Pelodiscus sinensis: one gene and its partner. The protein of the gene in region 1 binds, or shares a complex with, the protein of each later gene. Links are inferred from orthologs where the notes say so. Each region holds a gene or a part of one and is shown on either strand. Other genes may lie near its edges. The genes, in order: AMHR2 and AMH.

What was found.
Region 2: the proteins of AMHR2 (region 1) and AMH are in contact, whole or in part, in a crystal structure (PDB 7L0J), measured with the Homo sapiens proteins. The link is inferred for Pelodiscus sinensis from reciprocal best matches to the Homo sapiens genes AMHR2 and AMH. Residues at the interface, in NP_065434.1 of Homo sapiens: Gly31, Val32, Arg33, Gly34, Ser35, Thr36, Thr38, Leu39, Phe62, Ile64, Glu75, Met76, Arg80, Asp81, Ser82, Glu84, Pro85, Ser95, Arg97, Ala98, Pro100, Ser101, Leu106, Thr108; in NP_000470.3 of Homo sapiens: Leu471, Arg472, Glu474, Val477, Leu478, Ile479, Pro480, Glu481, Thr482, Tyr483, Gln484, Lys534, Leu535, Ile537, Leu539, Glu542, Arg543, Ile544, Ser545, Ala546.

Annotation. Positions count from the first base shown.
Region 1 is NC_134729.1:320,258-331,556, forward strand, and holds the start of AMHR2 (anti-Muellerian hormone type-2 receptor), read left to right. Parts: upstream 1-5,374; 5' UTR 5,375-5,389; coding exon 5,390-5,624; intron 5,625-5,721; coding exon 5,722-5,904; intron 5,905-6,420; coding exon 6,421-6,570; intron 6,571-10,291; coding exon 10,292-10,378; intron 10,379-11,292; coding exon 11,293-11,299. UniProt on the Homo sapiens protein: On ligand binding, forms a receptor complex consisting of two type II and two type I transmembrane serine/threonine kinases.
Region 2 is NC_134729.1:27,222,053-27,233,368, reverse strand, and holds the start of AMH (muellerian-inhibiting factor), read left to right. Parts: upstream 1-5,564; 5' UTR 5,565-8,008; coding exon 8,009-8,672; intron 8,673-11,316. Other genes in the region: SF3A2 (splicing factor 3A subunit 2), read left to right, coding at 653-699, 1,124-1,233, 2,117-2,166, 2,627-2,767, 3,308-3,376, 4,954-5,289. UniProt on the Homo sapiens protein: Plays an important role in several reproductive functions. Induces Muellerian duct regression during male fetal sexual differentiation. Also plays a role in Leydig cell differentiation and function.

The DNA of each region.
Region 1 (11,299 bases):
CCACTGGGTCCAGGACACCCGCCCCAGCGGCTCTGCATTTCAAGTGTATGCGGAGCCAGGCGGACAGGCAGCTCGTCTCAGTCCCGTCTCGCACTGGGACCCTCTTAGACGGGCTGCTTTTGCCTCTGTAGCAGAGACAGCCGTGCAGGGCGGCAGCCAGCCGGTCCGTGAGGGGGGCTGGTTTTTAAACTGGCTCCCCTTGTGGGCCAGCTCCCGCCTGGCGCCCCGCACTGCTGCCTGTGATACAGGGTGCACTGGCTGCCGGCCCCGCCCGTGGGGACTGGAATTCCCGGGTTCCTCAGTTATTCAATTAACCGACGCCATGGCTGGAGCAGAGCGGCAGAGACGCCTGTCTTGCTCCCAACAGGCCTGCTCGTCAGTCCTCTCTGCAGCGGCGTCGTGCTGTTGACTCCTATTTAGCTGGTCCCCTCGATCCCTTCCTGTGTGACGGGCTGTTCCTTCCTAAGGGCAGCACTTGGCATTTGTCCTCAAACGTCATCCTGTTGCCCTCAGCCCATTTCTGCAGAGTGTCCAGATCATTGTGAATTCTCCCCGCACCTCCGAAGCGCTCGCAGCCCCTCCCAGCTTGGGATCATCTGCAGACTTCATAAGCGTCCTGTGTGTGCCGATCCCTCAATGGCTGATGAAGACACTGAACAGACCCCTGCGCAACCCCCCTTGTTCTGCCCTTGCAGCAGGACTGGGAGCCGTTCAGAACGACTGCGCGCTTCGCCCCAGTCCTGCACCACCTGGCTGCCCCGGCTCAGTTGTTTGCCTAGTTTATCGATAAGGTCATGTGAGACTCAGATGCCTTCCTAAAGTCCAGGTATCCCCCCCGCTCCCTTATCCACCCGGCGTGCCGGCCTGTCTCAAAGCGGGCCCGTGGGTCTGAGTGATTTGTGCTTCACGAATCCATGCTTGACTCCCCGCTCCCGAAGCCGTGGCGACTCCCGCGCCCTTCTTGGAGCCTTTTCCAGTGCCCCTACCTTCTTTGAACCGGCCCCGGGAGGCAGGCAGGCTGGGGTGCTCGTGATGCCAATAGGAGATTTCCCAGCGGCTTCCGGAGCCGGCGGAGCAGGCCTGCTCTCCGCCCACGTCTAGCAAAACCCAGCTCAGGTTTCCTGAGGCCTCTAGATTATGGGCGTAGGGCCCCCCGTCCCAAATACTGCCCACCCAAGTCCCCTGGAGCGTCCCCGTGCGAGGTGGCCGGGCTTGAGCGTCTGGGGCAGGCCAAATCCGGACTGCAGCCCCGGGAGCTGAGTGCCCGGACCCTGGCCAGTTGCAGCTGTCCAGCTGAGCAGGTACCCCGTGGAGACGTTCCCTGGGGTTGGGCTGCACGTTTCCTCCAGTGACTCAGCACGCCTTGCTGGCGGTGGGGGTCGCAGTGCGTCGGCCCCGGGGGGCTGCTGCGCGTTAGCAAAGGGGGGGCGAGCGCGCTCCGGCCTGTGGCTGGGAATCGCACCTGGCAACTGGCAGAGCAAATGAAGTGGGGCAAACAACACGCGCCCCCTTCCCGCGACCCTCCGAGACGCTGTTCGGGGGACATTCTGGTGGCCTCGCGGCCGCACTCATGGACAGGGGAACAGCCACCAGAAAAGTGGGTGGGTGCGGTGTGGAGTGGGGTGTGTGGTCATCGTTGTGAGTGTGTGTAGTTGTGTGGTGGGGGTGTATGGTCACTGTTGTGGGTGTGGTCGGGGGGTGTAGTTGTGTGGTGGGGGTGTATGGTCACGGTTGTGGGAGTGGTCGGGGGGGTGTAGTTGTGTGGTGGGGGTGTATGGTCACTGTTGTGGGAGTGGTCGGGGTGTGTGTGTGTAGTTGTGTGGTGGGGGTGTATGGTCACTGTTGTGGGTGTGGTCGGGGGGGTGTAGTTGTGTGGTGGGGGTGTATGGTCACTGTTGTGGGTGTGGTCGGGGGGGTGTAGTTGTGTGGTGGGGCTGTGTGGTCACGGTTGTGGGTGTGGTCGGGGGGTGTAGTTGTGTGGTGGGGCTGTGTGGTCACGGTTGTGGGTGTGGTCGGGGGGTGTAGTTGTGTGGTGGGGCTGTGTGGTCATGGTTGTGGGTGTGGTCGGGGTGTGTGTGTGTAGTTGTCGTGTGTGTGGCTGCGGTGGGGGGGTTCTCCGGGGGGGGTGTCTTAGCTAGGCATGGGGCACAGATGCTAACCCCTGAGGCTGGGGGCCGGGAGCCGCGGCGCTAGCCGCCCTGTGGAAATGGAAGCCGAGGCGCTGGGCCGGAGTCGGCCCCGTTGGCAGGGACCCCAGGGCGCGGGGCCGGGCTGTTTCAGCGCTGTGGGAGCGTGTGGTGGAGCCCGGGCCGTGCTGCGGCTCCTCCGCTCGGCCGGGCGCTGGGTGGGGCTGCCCCCGGCCCTGCCGCAGGGAGGAATTCTCCCAAAGCCTCCCCCGTCCGGCTCCCACCTGGCCTCAGCCCCTCTGCCCCGGGTCCGCTCCTGCGCCCCCCGCCCGTGCCGGGTCACCTGCTGCCCACCCCCACTGGCGCCAGGCCCCCCGCTCGTGGCTGGGGTGTGGGAGGGTCGCGGGGTCTGGCTCTTGATTTTTACACCGTCGGGGGCCTAGGAGTAGGGTGACCCAAGGGAAAATGGGCCAGCCCGTGGGGCTGGCTCGCTCCCCCATGGGGCTGGCCCCACCTGCTGGCCCAAGATGGCTGCTGCTCAACGTTGCTGCTGGTCTTTGGAGCCCGTCCTCCCCCTCAGACCCCGCAGCCCCACCCAGCGCCCGGATGAGCCACAGCACGGCCCGGGCTCCACCGCACGCTCCCACGGTGCTGAAACAGCCCGGCCCCGCGCCCTGGGGTCCCTGCTGACGGGGCCGGCTCCGGCCCAGCGCCTCGGACTGAAGGTCGTGCTGAGACTAAAGGTTGGTGGAGCTGGGTCCCTGTGTTGGGCCGGGCCGGGTCTGGGCACCGCTCAGGGCAAATTGCTCAAAACCAGGGCTCCTTACTGCCCCTGACTGGGGCCCTTCCAAACAGGCCACACGCCGGTCCCACCGAGCGCTCCAGCTGCCAATCCAGCCGGCTGGAACCTCACGAGCAAAACCCCCCGGACACCCCAGCTCTCCCTGTGCCCCAATCCGCCCCGGGGCCCGCACAGGTGGGGGGCTATAGAACCAACCTCACCCACCCCCAACGGCTCCTCCCCCTCCCAGAGAACCAGCCCCAGGTCCCGGTCAATTTGCGCTGTGGATCGTACCCACAAGGGCGCGCTGGGCCCGTCCTTAGCATCTAAGAGCCGAAGGTTCATTCATAAAAGAAGGAAAAGGCGGCGAGTGCGAAGGGGAACACGTCACACGCACCAGTCGCCCAGCTCTCGGTGCAGGCTCTCGGCAGAGCTGTTCCAAACCGCCAGCTTAGACGGCTCTGGGGCCCGTCCTATGGCAGGAGGGGTCGACAATCCTTCCCGGCTCTGTCCCTCGCGAGGCTGCATCTGGGAACAGGAGCAGAATTGAAGGCCGGATGGAGTCGCCTCATGGCACTTTCTATCCATCCCGGGTACCAGTGACCTGTCCCCGTGTCCCGTGTCGGCAGCCACTGGATACTGGCTGCTTTGCAGGTCTCCGGAGCATCCCTCAGGCGTGTTGGGCACCTTGACAGCCACTGTCCCTGGAGCTGCGCTAATTAGCAGAGTCCCTGACTGAACAGTTGCTCTTTACAACAGGCCGTCCAGGCCCACGGCTCCGTCTCAGGCGGAGAACATCGCCAGGACCAGCCCGTCTCCATATCCCCACAGGAGACGTCCCGCCGGTACGTGCGTAGCAGACACAGAACCGGTAGGACACGCGCTTTCATTGGACGCCTCGCATGGCCCCTTTGTACAGACCTTGGGGTGCAGCAGTGATCTGCCTGATCCCCTTAAAATCCAGTCATGTGACAGGCCTACATTCCAGAATACGGGTGGAGCGCGGCCCCGGCCCATGGACAGTGGGGACCGGAACTTTCCCGCCCAAATGGGGTGCCTGGTCCCCTCCCCGCACAGCAACAGAGGCTGGCAGGGTGCCGCTGGTCTGGCCCACAGCAGGGCAGCAGGTCTTTTCCGCAGCTTCCACAGGGCCCTTTTGGCCAGGGAAGGCTTAGCCAGTGCTGGCTGAAATGCAGCTGCCTCTGGGGTGGGGCGCAGGCGCTGGTCACAGTTCAAGCCCCCAGGCCCTGCTCCTCAGAGACGAAGCCCGATCCAGCAGCCACTCGGGCGGGGGGCATTTGGGGATAATGACACCCGCTGGCCGTTGTGTTGGGGCAGGAGCCCCACGGACGTACCCGAGACCTGGCCTGGGCTCACAAGGAAGGCTCTGGGCCGGAGACACGCCCTGGGGCTGTTTGCCACCGGACCGGCGCCCGGAGGCTCCGAGCGGCCAGAGTGGCTAAGCCCCGGGCCGGGCCAGGTCTGGGCACCACTCAGGGCATCTGCCCAGGGCGAGTTGCTCGAAACTCAGGGCTCCGTACAGCCCCAGCCTGGGGACCTTCCCAAACAGGCCACAGGCCGGGCCCACCGAGCGCTCCAGCTGCCAGTCCGGCCGGCAGGAACCTCACGAGCAAAACCCCCCGGACACCCCAGCTCCTCCTATGCCCCAACCAGCCCCGGGCCCCCACACAGGTGCGGGGTTAGAACCCAACCTCACCTCCCCCGAACGGGTTCTTCCGGTCCCAAGAAACCAGCCACCGGTCCCGGTCAATGTACACTCTGGATCTTCCCCGCAAGAGCACGCTGGGCCCGTCCTTCAGAATCTGCACTCTACAGGCTCTTAGCAGAGATGTTAGAAACTGCTCTTAACCGTCTCTGGGGCGCATCCTATGTCAGGACGGGGCCACGGTTCTTCCTGGCTCGTGGTTCCCTGCAAGGCTGCATCTGGGATCAGGAGCCGAACTCAAGACCAGGTGGAGGAGCCACAAGGCACTTCTATACCCCCCTGGGCAGAGCTGGTCACTGCAAGTCGCATGGTCCATGGACCTATCCCCGTGTCCCAGGCCAGCAACCGTTCTCCTGGCCGGCTCGCAGGTCTCCGGATGTTCCCCGGGTGGGTCTCTGGCACTCGGAGCTCTCGTGTCCCTGGAGCCCTGCTAATTAGCACGGCCGCTGGCCTGGTGCTGCCTCCCACAGACCCTTCCGGCGTCCCCGTGGAGCACACGCTTATCACTCCGCACACACCTCGTACGAGCACGTGCAGCGCACACCCAGAATCAGTAGGACACAAGCATTCACGTGACACCTCGCACGGCCCCTTTGTGCCGACTTTTGGGGCACCCCCCCGGGTGCAGCCGTGATCTTTAGAATCCAGTAACGTGACCGACGGAGCCCCGCGGGCTGCAGGGGCTGGGGCAGAGCGGGCCCCACGGGGGGGCTGGGGCAGAGCGGGGCCCACGGGGGGGCAGGCCCGGAGCAGGGCATGGGGGAGTGGCGCCCTCCTTCCCCGCGCTCCTTTTCCTGCCCCTGGCCGCTGACAGCGTCTGGGCCCCATCCCACGCGCCGCGCCGGCCAAGTCCTTCCCGGGGGAGGGCCGGCCGGGCTCACACGCGCGCTCCAGGTGCTGGGAGAAGGACCCCGGCTGGATGGGGCAAGCATGCCCCAGCCCTTCCGAGTGCTGCACGGCCTGGGCCTCTGGCTGAGCCTGGGGCTGCTGGGTAAGGGCCGGGCAGGGCCCCGTGCTCTCCTGGCGCCCCATGGCAGTGGGCGGGGGCCCCCCAAACCCGCCCGACGCAGCCTCCTGTGTCTCCCCAGGCGCCCGGAGCAGCAACCGGAGCTGCGTCTTCTACGAGCCGCCCCACCAGGTGCGGGGCACCATGCGGCACTGGGGGCGCCTGCTGGGGGGCGCCGAGCGCGGCACCATCCTCTGCCTGGCCAGCCAGTGCTGCTTTGGGATCTGGAACGACAGCCAGGGCGGGCTGCAGGCTGTGATGCAAGGTGAGGGGCGGGGAGGGGGCGCCGCCGGCTGGGGCTGTCCGGGCGCCCGGGGGCAGGGGCCGTTTCGGCTCCAGGAGGGGAGCGGGCTCTGGGACGAGGAGCTGGGCGCTGGCTGGGCGGGCTAGTGGTCGGGGCTGGGGCTGGGTGTCTGGACTCCTGGGGAGTAAGGCCTAGTGGTCGGAGCTTTTCCCTGCTCTTGTGTAGCCCCTTCCCACTTGTCTAGAAGTGGCGGGTGGGTTTGGTTTACAGCCCTGGGAAGTGGCCATGGAGGGGGGGCACCTGCCCCCTGCTGCGGCTGGCTCAGGACCCCCCCAGTGGCTGCAGGGTCAATAGGCGCCTGCATGGCCGACACTGGGGACCTCTGTCCCTGACGGCGCCGTCTGTCTGTCTGTGTCTGTCTGTGTGTGTGTCTGTGTCTGTGTGTCTGTCTGTGTGTGTGTCTGTCTGTGTCTGTGTGTGTGTGTGTCTGTCTGTGTGTGTGTCTGTCTGTCTGTCTGTCTGTCTGCGGGAGGCCAGGCTGCTGGGACAGCGACCGGGACGACTGCGACTCCCCGGCCTGCGAACCCAGCCCCATCCACACCTACGGGGTCACCCTGCAGCGCTGCCTGTGCCGCTCTGACCTCTGCAACGCTGCCAGCCGGCTGGGCGCCCCTGCCCCCCCGCAAGGTGAGCGGGCCCCACGGCCGGGGGGGGGCGGGCCCCTCAGTGTTTGCCACGGGGAAGGGGGCTGGGAGCAGACCCCACAGGGCCGGGGGCTCGCGCCGTCTCCCTGCTGCTGCCTGGCTCAGCGGCGAACCCGGGTCGGGAACCCGGAGTCCCAGGCCGGGTCTTGGGGCGACGGGCCCGGGCAGGTGACAGCAGCGCGTCTCCTGTGGGGATGGAGCTGCAGAGCGGGGGAGGTGGGGGGGGCAGGACCGAGGGGCACAGGCAGGGCCGGGGGAAGCTCGCCCAGACTCTGCCTGGCTCCGAGCCCGACACATTCACAGGGAGGAAAAAACAGAGGCAGACACAAGATAAGTAGAAATCGTGTTGCCCCGTCGGGTCTGCCCTGCTCCCCCGCTGCCCCCGGGCTGTCCCCATCCCCCCCCCCCCGTGTCTGGCCCTGCTCCCCCGCTGCCCCTGAGCTGTCCCCATCCCCCCCCCCCGTGTCTGGCCCTGCTCCCCCGCTGCCCCCGGGCTGTCCCCATCCCCCCCCCCCGTGTCTGGCCCTGCTCCCCCGCTGCCCCTGGGCTGTTCCCATCCCCCCCCCCCGTGTCTGGCCCTGCTCCCCCGCTGCCCCCGGGCTGTCCCCATCCCCCCCCCCGTGTCTGGCCCTGCTCCCCCGCTGCCCCCGGGCTGTCCCCATCCCCCCCCCCCGTGTCTGGCCCTGCTCCCCCGCTGCCCCCGGGCTGTCCCCATCCCCCCCCCCGTGTCTGGCCCTGCTCCCCCGCTGCCCCCGGGCTGTCCCCATCCCCCCCCCCCGTGTCTGGCCCTGCTCCCCCGCTGCCCCCGGGCTGTCCCCATCCCCCCCCCCCGTGTCTGGCCCTGCTCCCCCGCTGCCCCCGGGCTGTCCCCATCCCCGCCCCGTGTCTGGCCCTGCTCCCCCGCTGCCCCCGGGCTGTCCCCATCCCCCCCCCCCGTGTCTGGCCCTGCTCCCCCGCTGCCCCCGGGCTGTCCCCATCCCCCCCCCCCGTGTCTGGCCCTGCTCCCCCGCTGCCCCCGGGCTGTCCCCATCCCCCCCCGTGTCTGGCCCTGCTCCCCCGCTGCCCCCGGGCTGTCCCCATCCCCGCCCTGTGTCTGGCCCTGCTCCCCCGCTGCCCCTGGTCTGTCCCCATCCCCCCCCCCGTGTCTGGCCCTGCTCCCCCGCTGCCCCCGGGCTGTCCCCATCTCCCCCCCGTGTCTGGCCCTGCTCCCCCGCTGCCCCTGGTCTGTCCCCATCCCCCCCCCCGTGTCTGGCCCTGCTCCCCCACTGCCCCTGGTCTGTCCCCATCCCCCCCCCCCGTGTCTGGCCCTGCTCCCCCACTGTCCCGGTCTGTCCCCATCTCCCCACCCCCCCGTGTCTGGCCCTGCTCCTCCACTGCCCCCCAGTCTGTCACCATCTCCCCCCCGTGTCTGGCCCTGCTCCCCTACTGTCTCCCGGGCTGTCCCCATCTCCCCCCCCCGTGTCTGGCCCTGCTCCCCCGCTGCCCCCGGGCTGTCCCCATCTTTCCCCCCCCGTGTCTGGCCCTGCTCCCCCACTGCCCCTGTCTGCTCCCCTCCCCGTGCAGCCCCTCTTGCCCCCCCATGTTTGGCCCTGCTCCCCCACTGCCCCCGGTCTGTCCCCATCTCCCCCCTGTGTCTGGCCCTGCTCCCCCGCTGCCCCCGGGCTGTCCCCATCTCCCCCCCCCCGTGTCTGGCCCTGCTCCCCTCCCTGATCTGTCTCCATCCCCTCTGCAAACTCTCCCGGCTGGGGGAGGGACGGTCCAGCATGGGCCCAGCCCGGCAGGTGCGTGGTGCTGGGGGAGCCCCGCTATCTGGCGCTCTGGCCTGGACGGCGGCCCGCGGACCTTGGGAAAGGAGCCAGGCAGGGGAGCGCCGGGCCAGAGAGCTGAGTCACTCTGATAAGCCGCTGGGAGGCAGCGGGACCCAGCGCTCACACGGGGCTGGGCTGGGGCACCGGGGCCGACCCAACAGTTGCCAGGGTCCCGCCTTTCCCCCGAGGGGCTGCTGGGCCTTCTGGGGGGGTGGGGACGGGGGGAGAGCCGGGCGCCTGGGTTCCCTGCCCGACCCTGAAGGGAGAGCGGAGTCTAGTAGTTAGAGCAAACAGGGCCAGGGAGAGCCAGGCGCCCGGGTTCCCTGCCCGGCCCTGAAGGGAGAGCGGAGTCTAGTAGTTAGAGCAAACGGGGCCAGGGAGAGCCAGGCGCCTGGGTTCTCTGCCCGGCCCTGAAGGGAGAGCGGAGTCTAGTAGTTAGAGCAAACGGGGCCAGGGAGAGCCAGGCGCCTGGGTTCTCTGCCCGGCCCTGAAGGGAGAGCGGAGTCTAGTAGTTAGAGCAAACAGGGCCAGGGAGAGCCAGGCGCCTGGGTTCTCTGCCCGGCCCTGAAGGGAGAGCGGAGTCTAGTAGTTAGAGCAAACAGGGCCAGGGAGAGCCAGGCGCCCGGGTTCCCTGCCCGGCCCTGAAGGGAGAGCGGAGTCTAGTAGTTAGAGCAAACAGGGCCAGGGAGAGCCAGGCGCCCGGGTTCCCTGCCCGGCCCTGAAGGGAGAGCGGAGTCTAGTAGTTAGAGCAAACAGGGCCAGGGAGAGCCAGGCGCCCGGGTTCCCTGCCCGGCCCTGAAGGGAGAGCGGAGTCTAGTAGTTAGAGCAAACAGGGCCAGGGAGAGCCAGGCGCCCGGGTTCCCTGCCCGGCCCTGAAGGGAGAGCGGAGTCTAGTAGTTAGAGCAAACGGGGCCAGGGAGAGCCAGGCGCCTGGGTTCTCTGCCCGGCCCTGAAGGGAGAGCGGAGTCTAGTAGTTAGAGCAAACAGGGCCAGGGAGAGCCAGGCGCCTGGGTTCTCTGCCCGGCCCTGAAGGGAGAGCGGAGTCTAGTAGTTAGAGCAAACAGGGCCAGGGAGAGCCAGGCGCCCGGGTTCCCTGCCCGGCCCTGAAGGGAGAGCGGAGTCTAGTAGTTAGAGCAAACAGGGCCAGGGAGAGCCAGGCGCCCGGGTTCCCTGCCCGGCCCTGAAGGGAGAGCGGAGTCTAGTAGTTAGAGCAAACAGGGCCAGGGAGAGCCAGGCGCCTGGGTTCCCTGCCCGGCCCTGAAGGGAGAGCGGAGTCTAGTAGTTAGAGCAAACAGGGCCAGGGAGAGCCAGGCGCCTGGGTTCCCTGCCTGGCCACAAACAGGCTCCGAAGCAAGAAAGGAAATGGGACCCCCCCCCCCCCGTGCCTCCGCGATGTCGCCTCCTGGTTGGACCCCCAGGTCCCCTCCTCTCAGGCTGGAGGGAGACCCCAGGAGCCCTGACCACTAGGCCCCTCTCCCTGCCAGGGGACTGTCTGGGCATCTTCCAGTCGGGCTGCCCAGCTGGAATTAGCCGGGGCTGGATCCGGTCCCCCCTCCCCAGCCCCTTTGATGGGGGAGGACCCAGGAATGCCGGAGGCGAGGGGGGAGCCGTCCTTTCTCCTGGATTTTAATTAAAACTCAAGCGGAGCCGCGGCCCGTGGGTGGGACGGGAGCCAGGGCCAGATGTGAGGGGCCCCGGCGGCCCCCGGCCTCTCGGCTCCAGGAGGGGGCTGGCTAGCGCTGGCCAGAGAGGCCCCGAGGAGACGGGAGCTGATTCCGCAAAGGGCCGCGGGCAGGACGCAGCCGGCAAGGACTTGCCCCCGGGGGGGGGGGGGGGCTGGGACAGATCCGGGGCCGGGTGCTCAGTTCAGCCTCCCCCTCTCTGCCCCTTCTGCAGCCTCGGCCAGGCCTGCTGGGACAAGCGCCGTCTGGATCGTCGCGGCCTGCCTGCTGCTGCTCTTCCTCTGCGGCGTGGCCGTCCTAGGTATCCCCGGCTCCTCCGGCCCCGCCCCGGTGTGAGGTGTGCCGGATCGACCCCTGCCCCCACCCTGGGACCCTGCTCGGCCCAGCCATGGAAGGGAGGGACTGCAACGCAGCTGTGGGGTGGTCCCTGGTCCCAGCCAGCAGGGGGCGCCCTGGCCAGGGGCAGGAAGCCAGTTAATTGCCCCTTGTCGTGGGTGCTGCTGCTCTCTGGTGGGGCAGCATCAGGGCTGGGCCAGGCTGCCCTGCGCTCACACCCTGCCCAGGCCCAGCCCCTAGGACTCCGGCAGGGCGCCTGGGCAGCTGCTTGGGGGATTCAAATGCCGCCCAGCTGATCTGCAGCGCGCCCACGGCGAGGTTTTGGTTTCTACGTATGGTGCCGATCCGTGCAAGCCTCGGTGCACAGAACAAAATTTATTCCACACGTGGATAGAAAAGCTCAGAGGGAACATTGCTACACACACACACACACACACACACACACACAGAGTCTGGCTGTCTGTAAACAGTCTCTCCTACACACACACAGCCTGGGTTGGTGAACGACTCACATGCACACCCACACACAGGTCATCTGTCTGTATACACAGGCTGTCCCTCCCTAAACACACAGTCTGCTCATCTCTGTAGGCGCCCACACAAACTGGCACACCCACCCTTTGTCTGTCTGCACACACCGGCTGTCTGTCTCTCTTGCCACTGGTGCCTGACTCACCCTGTCTGTCAGCGCACGCGCACACACACACATGCGCGCACACACACGCACATGCGCACACACACATGCACACACACACACACGCGCGCGCGCACACACACACACACCAATGACCTTCGCTGTGGGCCCTGCAGCAACGTGGGCCCAGCCCTGCAAGCGCCCGGTGTTACTGCGCGGGGGAATCTCTCTCTCTCTCCCCCCAGCGCTGCG
Region 2 (11,316 bases), about 27 Mb from region 1:
TTGAGATCTGGGTTGGTGGAGGGAATGGATGAGACCCTGAAAAAAGTGTACATTTTCCCGTACCTCAGTGCACTTATGAGGATGAATACATTTTTCCTTTGTGCTGTAAGGGTACGTCTACACTTGCACCCTAGTTCGAATTACGGATGCAAATATAGGGGACCAAAATGGCTAATGAAGCGGGAATTTAAATATCCCGCGCTTCATTAGCATAATCTCGCCTGCGTGCTATTCTCTTTGCCAGCTGATTCAAACCAGGAAGTGCGTTAATTCAAAACAAACCCTTTGGTTCAAACTAACGTTACTCCTCATTTTTTGAGGAGTAACATCAGTTTGAACTAAGGGGTTTGATTTGAACTAACGCGGCCCGGAGCGCACTTCCTGGTTCGAATCAGCTGGCAATTGGAATAGCGCGCAGGCGAGATTATGCTAGTGAAGCGCAAGATATTTAAATCCCCGCTTCGTTAGCCATTTCGGTCGCCTACATTTGTATCCCTAGTTCGAACTCGGGTGCAAGTGTAGACGTACCCTAAGAGTTAAAATATTGACGTGTCTGAGAGCTTCCTTCAGAAGGCAGCTTAACTCTTCTGTGACATCTGGATACTTCGCAGCTTTCTGTCATATTTAATTTTCTTGTCTTGTTCTGTTGCAGGGAAGCTATTTAGCACACACCCAGGGGAAAAAGCATCAGACCAATTTGTAAGTTCTTAATGGAAGTGTTTTCCAGTCTCTGGACATGTTAAATTAGTGGGTATCTGTTTTAACAAACACTTCATCCTGGATTTATTTGTTTTACATTATAAATCAGAGTGCAAACTTAGTTTTGCTGTAGGCATGAGATCAAACAGTCCAGTTTGGCTTTTAAGCCTCCCTCTCTTCTTGGGTGCAACCCATCAAGTAGTTTTTCTTCATGTGCTAAGTGGAATGTCAGACGGGAAGCTCTTGGTTTAGCATTGTTGTAGCAGTGGGTTCAAATTCACAGCTATAGGGACTGTAGTTCTCTGTCAGGGCAGGAGTTGGCAAGAGACGGCTAGCAGGGTTTCAAGGCTGTATAGAGTACTCTTAATCGAAAGGATCGCATTTCTGAGTGCATCTAGATGACAACCTTCTGTCCTGATTTCAGAGCTCGCAGGGCTGCCAAGGAAGCTAAGGAAGCCCCTGCCCAGCCTGCACCAGAAAAAGTCAAAGTGGAAGTGAAAAAGTTTGTGAAAATTGGACGACCAGGTTACAAAGGTGACAAGTGACTGGCATGTCTTTTCTGTCAGGGTACCAACCTGGTTCTTGCTTGAAATGCAGTGCTGTGGATATTAGTTGTAAATAAGCTTTTCAGCCAATATGGTTATAAATAAATTCTAGGGCCGCGTCCCCCTCTCCTTGCATTGTTTTGTTTGCCTGTAGAGTGACTCAGCAATGCATAGGTAGTCATGATCAGTGATGCAACAGGTGGACAGCATGGGATGTATTCTGGCTCTCCTCTGCCACCTACTATAGTACTGCTCCCATGAGTATGATTTCCCCCCTTTCTTTCCATAAATGCTGAGTGTCACTAACAAGGTTTGTAATCTCAAATTTACTCACCCATTTTTATTTAAAAAATTGTTATGGCACGCTTCATGAAACTGGCTTTGTCACTGTGTTCTTGGCCAAAACTTCCTTTTTCTTCCATTTTATGTCCCCTATCTTCCCCTATTTTGCCATGTTCTGTGTGTCCGTTCTCTCCCTCTGCCCCAGAAGTTGCTGCATTTCAGTGGTGCTGAACACTTGGCATAAAGGCTTTCAAATAATGTAGTGTTACAACTGTGTAAACGGTCAGAGTTTTTGTTTTCTTTGGGATGGTGCTCTGTGCAGTACTATCAATTCCTAAAACAGGATTAGTGTCACTCCAGCTGCAATACTGTATTACAGCGGTTTTCAGCCTTTTTTCATTTGTGGACCCCTAAAAAGTTTTGAATGGCGGTGCAGAACCCTTTGGAAATCTTAGACATAATGTGCAGACCCTGGATTGAAAATCACTTTTCTATGGTAATAGTAACCTTCTGTGAACCTCTTACACATAGTCTGTGGTGCACAGGTTGGAAACACTACGGTATTGAACTCGTTCATTGTCCTTTCACAGTGACCAAACAGAGAGATCCAGAAATGGGGCAACAGAGCCTTCTCTTCCAGGTAAGCGACTGTGAACCTTGCATACCGCTGAGTGGTGCTTGTAAAGGAATTGTTCGGCTGCAAGTTCCTAGCAGGATGGATTAGAACAGAGGCTGTCGTTGAGGGTTTTGGCTCGGTTCCTGGTAGACATGTTCCCACACAATTACAGACAGCCATCAGAATGTTCTTGACACGGGCTGAGGAACGGTCCTCTTGTTCCTAGGGGTGGTCTTGGTAGGGCTGTGCTGTGGCACATGGGCAGTGGTGCTGGGGGAAGCTTTCGGTGCCGGCGCACTGCTCCTCACCATGTTGTAAGTGGAGAGATCCGTGACCAAGGCTGGTTTCTTTCACCAGCAGTAAATGTACTAATTTCACCATACAAAGGACACGGACTGGCCCCTCTTTATGGCTGGGGGTGTTTTCCGCTAGCAGAAGGGGGGAGGATTGAGTATGTACCTAATGCTGCAATATCCCCCCACAGATCGATTACCCAGAGATCGCTGAAACCATCATGCCTAGGCACCGGTTCATGTCTGCATACGAGCAAAGGATTGAGCCCCCAGACAGACGCTGGCAATACCTCTTGATGGCGGCGGAGCCCTATGAAACCATTGCTTTCAAGGTACAGTTTATTGGCCAATCATTGGCTGGGAATGTGTCTCGTGGATGGTAAGACTGAAATGACCCACTCTGGCCTCCTGCATGTTGATCTCTCCCTGCCCTGTGCATTCAGTGACAATAGAGCAGTGTCCACCTATTCCATTGCGCCTATGTGGATGGGGAGCATGGTTGGGCCTTTGTGTACAGGGAGCTTGGTTGGAAGTGTTGAAAGAGGACAACTCCTGAACCACCCTTCAGGATGAATAGAGACATGTGGCCGAGAGCGTCTGGGCAGCCAAGGAATTCTCTGCCTCCAGCACAGAAAGGAGCCCTTTGGGCCCTGCTCCTGCATCCTTTTTGTGCAGGTGTTAAGAGGAGCCAGTTTCAGACGATAAGCTTGCCCTTGAGAGATATGAAAGTGTCTTAATTCCTCCCCTCTGTCTATTAAGGCCTGATAGCACATCTCACACAAGCCTGGAATAGCGGTGCTTATCTTGCCGCTCTAGTGCTAAGGAGCTAATCTGGTGGTGCTAATAATAGCTCTTTACTGCTTTTGTTACAGGTGCCAAGCAGGGAAATTGACAAAGCAGAAGGAAAGTTTTGGACTCACTGGAACAGAGAAACCAAACAGGTAGCTGGAGACTCACTTCTTTGGGAGGGAGTGAAAAGATAAGAGGACAATGTGGAGGAGCGTAGGCCAGTGGTTACCAAAATACTTCGGTAGAACCTCAGTTATGAACACCAGAGGTAGAAACTGACCAGTCAGCCACACGCATTGTTTGGAACCAGAAGCATGACACAGAAATGTAAATACCATATAGTTCTGTGTTAAACGTAAACTACTAGAAAGTAAAGGCAAAGCAGCGTTTTTCTTCTGCAAAGTAAAGTTTCAGAGCTGTAGTAAGTCAGTGTTTGGTAGTAAACTTTTCAAAGAGCAACTGTAATGTTTTGTTCAGTGTTACAAACAACCTCCATTCCCAAGGCATTCTTAACTCTGATTATCTTGTAGTTCTGGCACTTCATGCTCCTTCACTGTGGAGCCTTGATGCTGAGCATTTCACAAGCCCACATTCTGAACTCCGATTTCCAGGGTGGGTTGGTGGTGGGTCTGGCCGATTGATTACATTGGTTCAGTTTCCTATGAACGCTGGACACAGATGTGTGCTGGAGCCCTCCTTTCCTTGATGCTTGAACCCACAATCCTGGGGTCCTCAGGCCAATGCCCTAGGCCACTTCAAAACCCAGCCCGCCTCCCTACCTGCAGGACGTCCCTTATCCGGCCTTCTTAATGGGGCAGCTGGTGGTGGTGTTCCTGGGTGGCTGGGCCTTGAAGCCACAACCCTGGGGTTGCCAGGCCAATGTGAGACAGAATGTTTTCTGTCTAACGTTCTCCGTGGGTGTTTGGCACGTGACATGATCTTCCTTGGCTCATCTGAGTTACTAAAAGGGCAAGTGTCAATCACCCAAAAGTAAGCTCCCTTATTGGCATTCTCGGCAGGGAGGTGGAGATGTGAAGGGGTCGTTGAGACTGATCTTCTTTCTCACCCAAACAAGGGGTCCCTCCAGGTCAGGTGGAAGTGCATTGGGAAGAAGCTTCTACAGCTGCTGCTGTACATACACAATCTGTCTCCTGAGCGGTCACCAGCATTTACGTTTGCTTAAAAATAAAACATGAAGCTGAGTGAAAATCTTCCTGGATTGCTGCCGCGTCAGTGGCTAGTCCAGCAGCCAGACCTTTCCACAGGGAATGCACGGACTTAGCCGCAGCACAGCACCAGTGGATCAATACGTAGCAGCAACATGTTCCTAACGTGTTTGGGGAACCGTGCGCCAGACACTTGTGTGGTGCTGTGTCCAGGGTGTGTGTGCAGTAGGCACAGTTGAGCAGGGATGGGGTGCTATACATAAGGGTGAGATGTTAACTTGGTAACTGACTCAGAAGCCAAAGAGCATATTTCGGGCTACTCTAGAATTAGAAGTGGGACTGCATTTGGTGCGAACCCGAGGTTGTCTGTTGATGGAGAGGCTGAGCGCGATGTGAGGTGACACCTGGGGTTGGAAGCATTACACATCATGTTTCAGTGGTTCACAATATTTCTTGGCGTACCAGAGACCACATGGTAGGGCAGCCACCTTGCGAGGTTCCCAAGCTGCTTTGCTGATTTGAATCTGTCCCTTTTTTTTTTTTTTTTTTTTTTTTTGCCCTAGTTCTTCCTTCAGTTCCATTTCAAAATGGAGAAGCCCCCAGTTCCCCAGAGCATCCCTCCTGGACCCCCAACCGTGAAGAGGCCTCCACCACCCCCACTGATGAATGGCTTGCCCCCACGACCACCTCTGCCGGACTCCATGCCGCCGCCGCCACCTCCTCCAGGAGGCTTGACTTTGCCACCCATGCCTCCCTCCGGTCCTGTACCGCCCCCAGCACCACCTCAGCTGCCCCCAGCTCCTGGGGTACATCCCCCTGCTCCTCTGCCCCCCATGATGAGACCACCTCTTCCCACGGAGGGGCCAGGAACTATTCCCCCCCCTCCTCCTTCCAACTGAAAAGCTCCTCCTGGACACTTTCCCCAGTGGACTCCTTTTGATTTGTGTTTTAATTATACACCATTATTTGCTCAGAGGGAAATCTTTGTCCTTTTTATATGCTAATAGCGTTGCCTGAATCCTGTAGGTTCATTAAAAGGCTTTCTACATTGTTTTCTGTATCCACGTCTTTCTCTTTGGGTGAAAACCATTGCCTGTGTTTCCACATTAGTAGTGTTAAAAGGCCCAAGAAAATGTGTAGCTAGTAACACACTGTCAGCCCTTGCTGTCCTTAGTGGTATATATTCAGAGTTATCATTACTCAAGGGGACAATGACTATACTCTCTAGAAATCTAACATCAGCTCAGACTCATGACACAATGCTTCTCCCTATGTTGGTTTTTGCTGTCCCATGTTCTACATCAGGGGTCTACCTTTTTGAGATCGCTTTTTAAATGTAAGTGCAATCCAAGGTCTACCTCAGATACAAATACCCTTGTCCCACCTCCTTCCTGCACCTTCTCTAAGACCCTGCCCCGCTCACTCCATCCTCCCTCTCTTGCCCATCCTCACTCACTTTCGCCAGGCTGGGGCAGATGGTTGGAGTGCAGGCTCCGGTCTTGGATTAAGGGATCTGGAATGTGAGAGAGGCTCTGAGCTGCTCTTGGGGCAGGAAGGGGTTCTAGGTGCAGGCTCTGGGATGGCATTTGGATGCAGGGATATACCTATCTCATAGAACTGGAAGGAACCTTGAGAGGTCATCAAGTCTAGTCCCCTGCCCTCAGGACTCGAGCCTAGGGCAGAGCCTTGGGGTACAAGAGGGGGTTCACGACTGGGGTAGGAGTTTGGGATGTGAGCTGCAGATGGGCACTGCTCGTGGCTCCTGGTTGGTGGGGCTGTGGCTCTGAACCACTCCCAAAAGCAGCCAGCAAGCTCCCTCCCAAGTCCTGTTGTGCCCCCTCTCTGCTCTGTGGAGATAGGATGAGAGTGGGCACCCTGACATCAGTGCGCTCTCGCTCCCCTGCCCTGCACAGAGAGCAGGAGGATCCCAGAGGGAGGGGCAGCTCCAAGGCAAAGGGCAGGAGATGAGCAGCAGTGGGGAGAGAGGCAGCTGAAGGTGCTGGCACTTGATAGCCTCCTGGCCAAACCAGTAAGAATCATCTGACAGGCTCCAAGATCTACCAATAGATCCCGATCAACTGGTTGGTGCCCACTGCTCTACATTGCCCTGTGGGAGAACTCCCCCATCCTTCCTCACGGGGACACTTTCTGGGGTTCCATGACAGCTGACTTTCCCTTGGCTGTCTCACCCGCTCCAGAATTTGATCATGTATTTCCATATATTGAACATGCACAGAGGGGTCCGGATTCAGAGCTAGGTTTAGATCTAGCCATGTGCATCTCAACAAACACGTGGCAGAAATGGATTCTTGCCCCATGCGCTGTCTCTTGCTGCATCTTAGATACCCAATGCCGAGGCTGCCCGATGAATCTCCCTGCAAATGTACGTGACGTGTCAGACGCGGCTGGGCAAGGTCAGAGTGAAGTAGGATTCCTCAAGATAAAGCCACAAACTAGTATTTTGAAAATGAAAATTGGCTAATTGTGCAAGTGTAACGTGTGGAACAACAGGAAGAGGGATTTCTGTTCAGGTGAGCTGGTGCTCAGGCAGTTCTCTGAAGCCAGCGTCTTAAGAGCCTCTGTGGCTTGAGTCTGTCGACCCGGTTGAGATCTTACCCTGAGATGGGATGGAGGCTCTATCGCTTGTGAGTCTTGCGGTAGGAGAGAACTCGGAGCAAGTAAGCCCTTTGGTCTATTCACACAGCTTGGTCTCCAGCACCTCTGCAGACAGAGATTCCTGGTACTGCATTTACCTCTTGAGTCATGCGCACGGGCCCTGTGAGCCAGCAGAAAGGTCTGGCTGTGTGTTGAATGTGGTTTTGAAGATCCATTTACCTGTGGGCATCACATTGCCGTGGAATCGGTGTGGGGACCGCACTAGCCATTTGGCCCTGTTGGGATGAGTGAAAGCAGGAAAGGAAAGTAGCTTTGGTGACCCAGCAGGACAGACCATGGCAGGATTGTTCCCTCTTTTATCGAATCCAGGACGGTTTTTGCCTCAAGGTCTGAGCCTTCCATGAATTCCCTCGTGAGACCCTTCCCTGATGCTCCAGTAGAATGAAATATTTTTACACCAAGCACTGAATTTTCCAGAGGAGTTGGAACAGCATAATATGAGTCTTCATGAGATGACCTCTCTAATGTGTCTGCAGAGGGGAAGAGCTGGTGCTCCCAGTAATCATGGGACGCTTCCCAGCCGAGAGAACTGATTGATCTAACTTCTCTCCATTTCTTCCCATTACCTTACTTCTACCCATTCCTTCCACTCTAAGCAGTTCCTTCCCCCAGATGTTTCAAGCCCTAAGAGAAATGTCTGCCAATCCCAGTGAAGATTCAAGCCAGACTGGCCATTTTCTCCCCACCCTTCTTAAAAACTTCTTAAGTCAAGGACAAGCATCCCTACAAATAAGGTAAACAGCTTCAATTTTATAATGTTTCCAAGCCCTGGATGCAAAGCCAAAAATAGAGCAGAAAAACTCCTTTGAATCGGCCCTCCCTCCTTTACAGCACACTGGCCTCTGAATGTTTCTCAGGGGAGGTGTGTTGTGCATTGTCAACTCAAGGTCGCTTTGTTTGAATGGGAGGTGCAGTCCTTCCCATACATAAGTGTTTCGAGGGATGCACTTAGTAACTCTAGCCTCGGAGGTTAGAGCTGCTCCGCGCCAGAACATGAAGCCCGTGCTAGGAGTCGCTTTGCAGTACCTGCTGCTGTTCCTCCCATCTGCTGCTGTGCCTAGGAAGAGAGGCATCGGGGGAGGACTCTGGCAGGCTGAAGAACTGGAAATAACCTTCCCGAAGGAGCTGGAAGAAAAGGAAGATGAGAGCACGTATGAGGGAGCAGAACCCAGCTTCATGGCATTGACATCCAAGGCCACCGCTGTTCCTCATCCCCTCTTGAAGAGTGACCAGCCAGGAGATTATGCCAAGGGAGCAAAATGCCCCCAGCTCTTCCCTGAGGAGGCAGTTTCCCCAGTTGTGGGGTTAGAATCCAGCCTCCCTGCTTGGCTCCCTGACAGGCTGGAAGGGCCTGTGTGCACGGTGAGAATGAGCAGGCGGTACGGCTTGGACCAGAGTCTTTTGGAAGTTGTGGGGGTCCTTACCAGCTACGAAAGCGATTTCCTGAAGCTGGTGAGACATGCCAGCTGGGATCAAGGCCAGCTGCAGACCTTTGGGATCTGTCCTGCCGGGGAGACCCATTCTGCTCTCCTGTCTCTGAAGCACATCCATGCCCACTTGGCTGAGCCAGGGGAGAGCAGGTTCCTGGTGCTGCATCTTGAGGAAGGTAAGTGCTCGGTTAAATCCTCGGAAGAGTCAGCCAAGAGAACCCAGTAGTGACTGGGGTTGAGAGAGATACTCAGATCCCATGGGAAGTGGGGCGTTACCAGGCAAATCCTGCTTTGCCACCAAAGATGGGGGTCGGTAGGAGACGAAACGGGGGAGAGGGACCAACTCCCCCGGAGAGTAGAAATAACCCACTCAGCATCATAAGCTTCCCATTCCGGTAGAGATCACCTTGTGCGTGTCCCTGTCCCCATCCGTCCCTGGCAACATCCTGTTGGCCGCTGGGGCTCCCAGCATAGCTGGGTTAATGCTCTCCCCCTCGGCCCTTGCTGCACTCCTGGCTCACTCAGTTCTTCAATGCTTACAGTAAAATCCAAAGGCTAAGGTGAAACCCTGTTCTCTCTGTGGAAGAGAAAGGGTATATGTGGGTAACCGCGTTCGTCCCCGTTCTTAGCAGTGCCCTGGTTCATAGGGTGGCATAAAACCCTTGAGAAAGCTGATTGCTGAGAACAATTCCCTCTTGTTCTTTCCCCGCTGGTATTGGTCTCTTGCGTAATGTCTCCAGCCCTGTTCATGAAGCACATCGGAGCCCTTGCTGCCATGGGGAGCTTGCCTGTGTAGAAACCCTGCCGCATCTCCCTTGCAATAGACTGCATGAGGACTCGTGCAGGCTCATGTGAATGGGTCTGTGCAGAAGTAGATAGCTTCATGCTTACCCTTGGGTGGGAATGGGGAAAGGGCAATGTTAAGCTGCAGGGGGGTGGCCTGGGACCATGGTCCCCCAGGGAGCCACGTCGGTGTCTGCGGGATCTCTTTCCAGCAGCGTTCTAGCACGGGCAGGGTTTGACCCGGCAGAGAACTAGGTCAGTTACACTGGGTGAACCTTCTCCTCAGCCCCCTCCACCAGCGTATTTAAATATATAACACTTAGTGCTGGCTTGAGAGCCCCGGAGTCTGTGCGTGTGCGAGCACAGTCCTTTAGCGGCGCCGCGTCCCTTCGAGCAGCGGTGTGCTTGTGGCGGGGGTCGGTGGAATTCCTTGGTCTTTGTTACGCAGGGGTCCAGTGAGAGGATGTCAGTCTGGTTTTGAAATCGGTTGAGTCACACACAGCCGCCCCATCAGGGTCCCCCCGCTTTGCTTCACCAGGTTAGGGATGTTAAATTGTGGTGATCTGGCTCCTCGTGTGGTCGATAATGACACGACTAGTCGACGGGCTGCTCTGCAGAGCCACGGCAAGGGGAGCTCCAGGAGCTGGCTCAAATTGGGACTCAGCAGTCCTGGCTCGTGCTGGCTCTGGGAGATGCCCACGCTGCAGCTCTGCATTTGAAATGTAGTGAGAGCTGCCTTTAAAATGCGGAGGCGCAGCCTCCCAGACCCGCACGAGCCAGGACTGCTCATTCCCGGCTTGCACGGAGTCCAGCAGCGCTTGTTCGCAGTGTCCAGCTCAGGCTGCTGTGAACAGGGGGCTGCTTGGTGGCAGCAGCCCCTGTCCACCAGGGCGGGGGCCCAGCTCCCTGCTGGGGCTCCTGTGGACAGGGGCTGCTCCCCTTCTCCTCTTCCCCACTGCCTCTGATGGGAGCAGCGGGTGGGAGGAGGTGGCACCGTGGAGACATGCTGAGGGAACCAGCTTTTAAACCAGCTTCTCCTAGCACTGGCTTCTGCCCCCCCGCTGCCTGTCAGAGGCAGCAACCTGGCGGGGAGGGGAAGCATGTAGTCGATACTCCAGTCGACTCCTCACTAACATCCCTACCCCGGGTCTGGGGTGGAGTCGAGTCCAAGTCTGAAAAGGGAATTCAGTCTCCAAGTTTTTGGCCCCTCCGTACCAGGGTGGCCGGCTGAGAGCTGGGTTGCGTTCCTTGGATACCTGCCTTGGAGCAGACAGCAGCTGTTGAAATCTCTGTGACCGGGGCTGGATTTGAACCAGCAACACAGAGCCGCGTAGTGCTGTGCTTGTGCGGCAGGGCCCGGCACTCTCCTGGTGCTCCTAGGCAGGGCTTTGTGTGCTGCTGTTCTCAGACCCTTGGCGTGAGACAGCGCGCTATAACCCTGCTCCTAGGACGGTTTTATTGAATGTGCGTGGCTCTGGGTGAGCCGCTAGTTCAGGTCCAAGGAAGCTTCCCGGAGCCTGTGAAGTGGCAGACAACTTGAGTTGTTCACCATTTGTGTATTTTTGTAAGGAAATCAACTGTGCCCCTCAAATTAGCAGTATTATGTCTCCTAAGAATTCAGCCACATGTGCGGCACTGCGCGGGCATTTGCTAGTTCCGACTGTCACTGTACTGGAGTAATGCGAAGTGAGCAAGGGTGTTTTTGCCGAACCAGGCTTACTTACGGAGGCTGGTTGAAAGCGTGGTTGGAAAAGTGCCCTATTCCAAGAGGCTGTGGTTTGCTGGGTTGAGCAGAGGCCTGGGGGTCAGGACCAGTTCAATTTAATCTTGACTCAGATGCCTCTCCTGAAGCACTGATCTCTCCCGGATCAGTCACCACCCCCACCACTGAGGTCCTGGCCAAATTCGATGGTGCAAATCACTGAGCCCAAGCTGGTACCCGGAAAGGGAGGTGTCCCAAACCGGTGACTGTTTCTGAATGTCTTTGGTCTCAAGCTCTTTGAGACTCATTTTTCATATCTCTAAAATGGGAGCAAA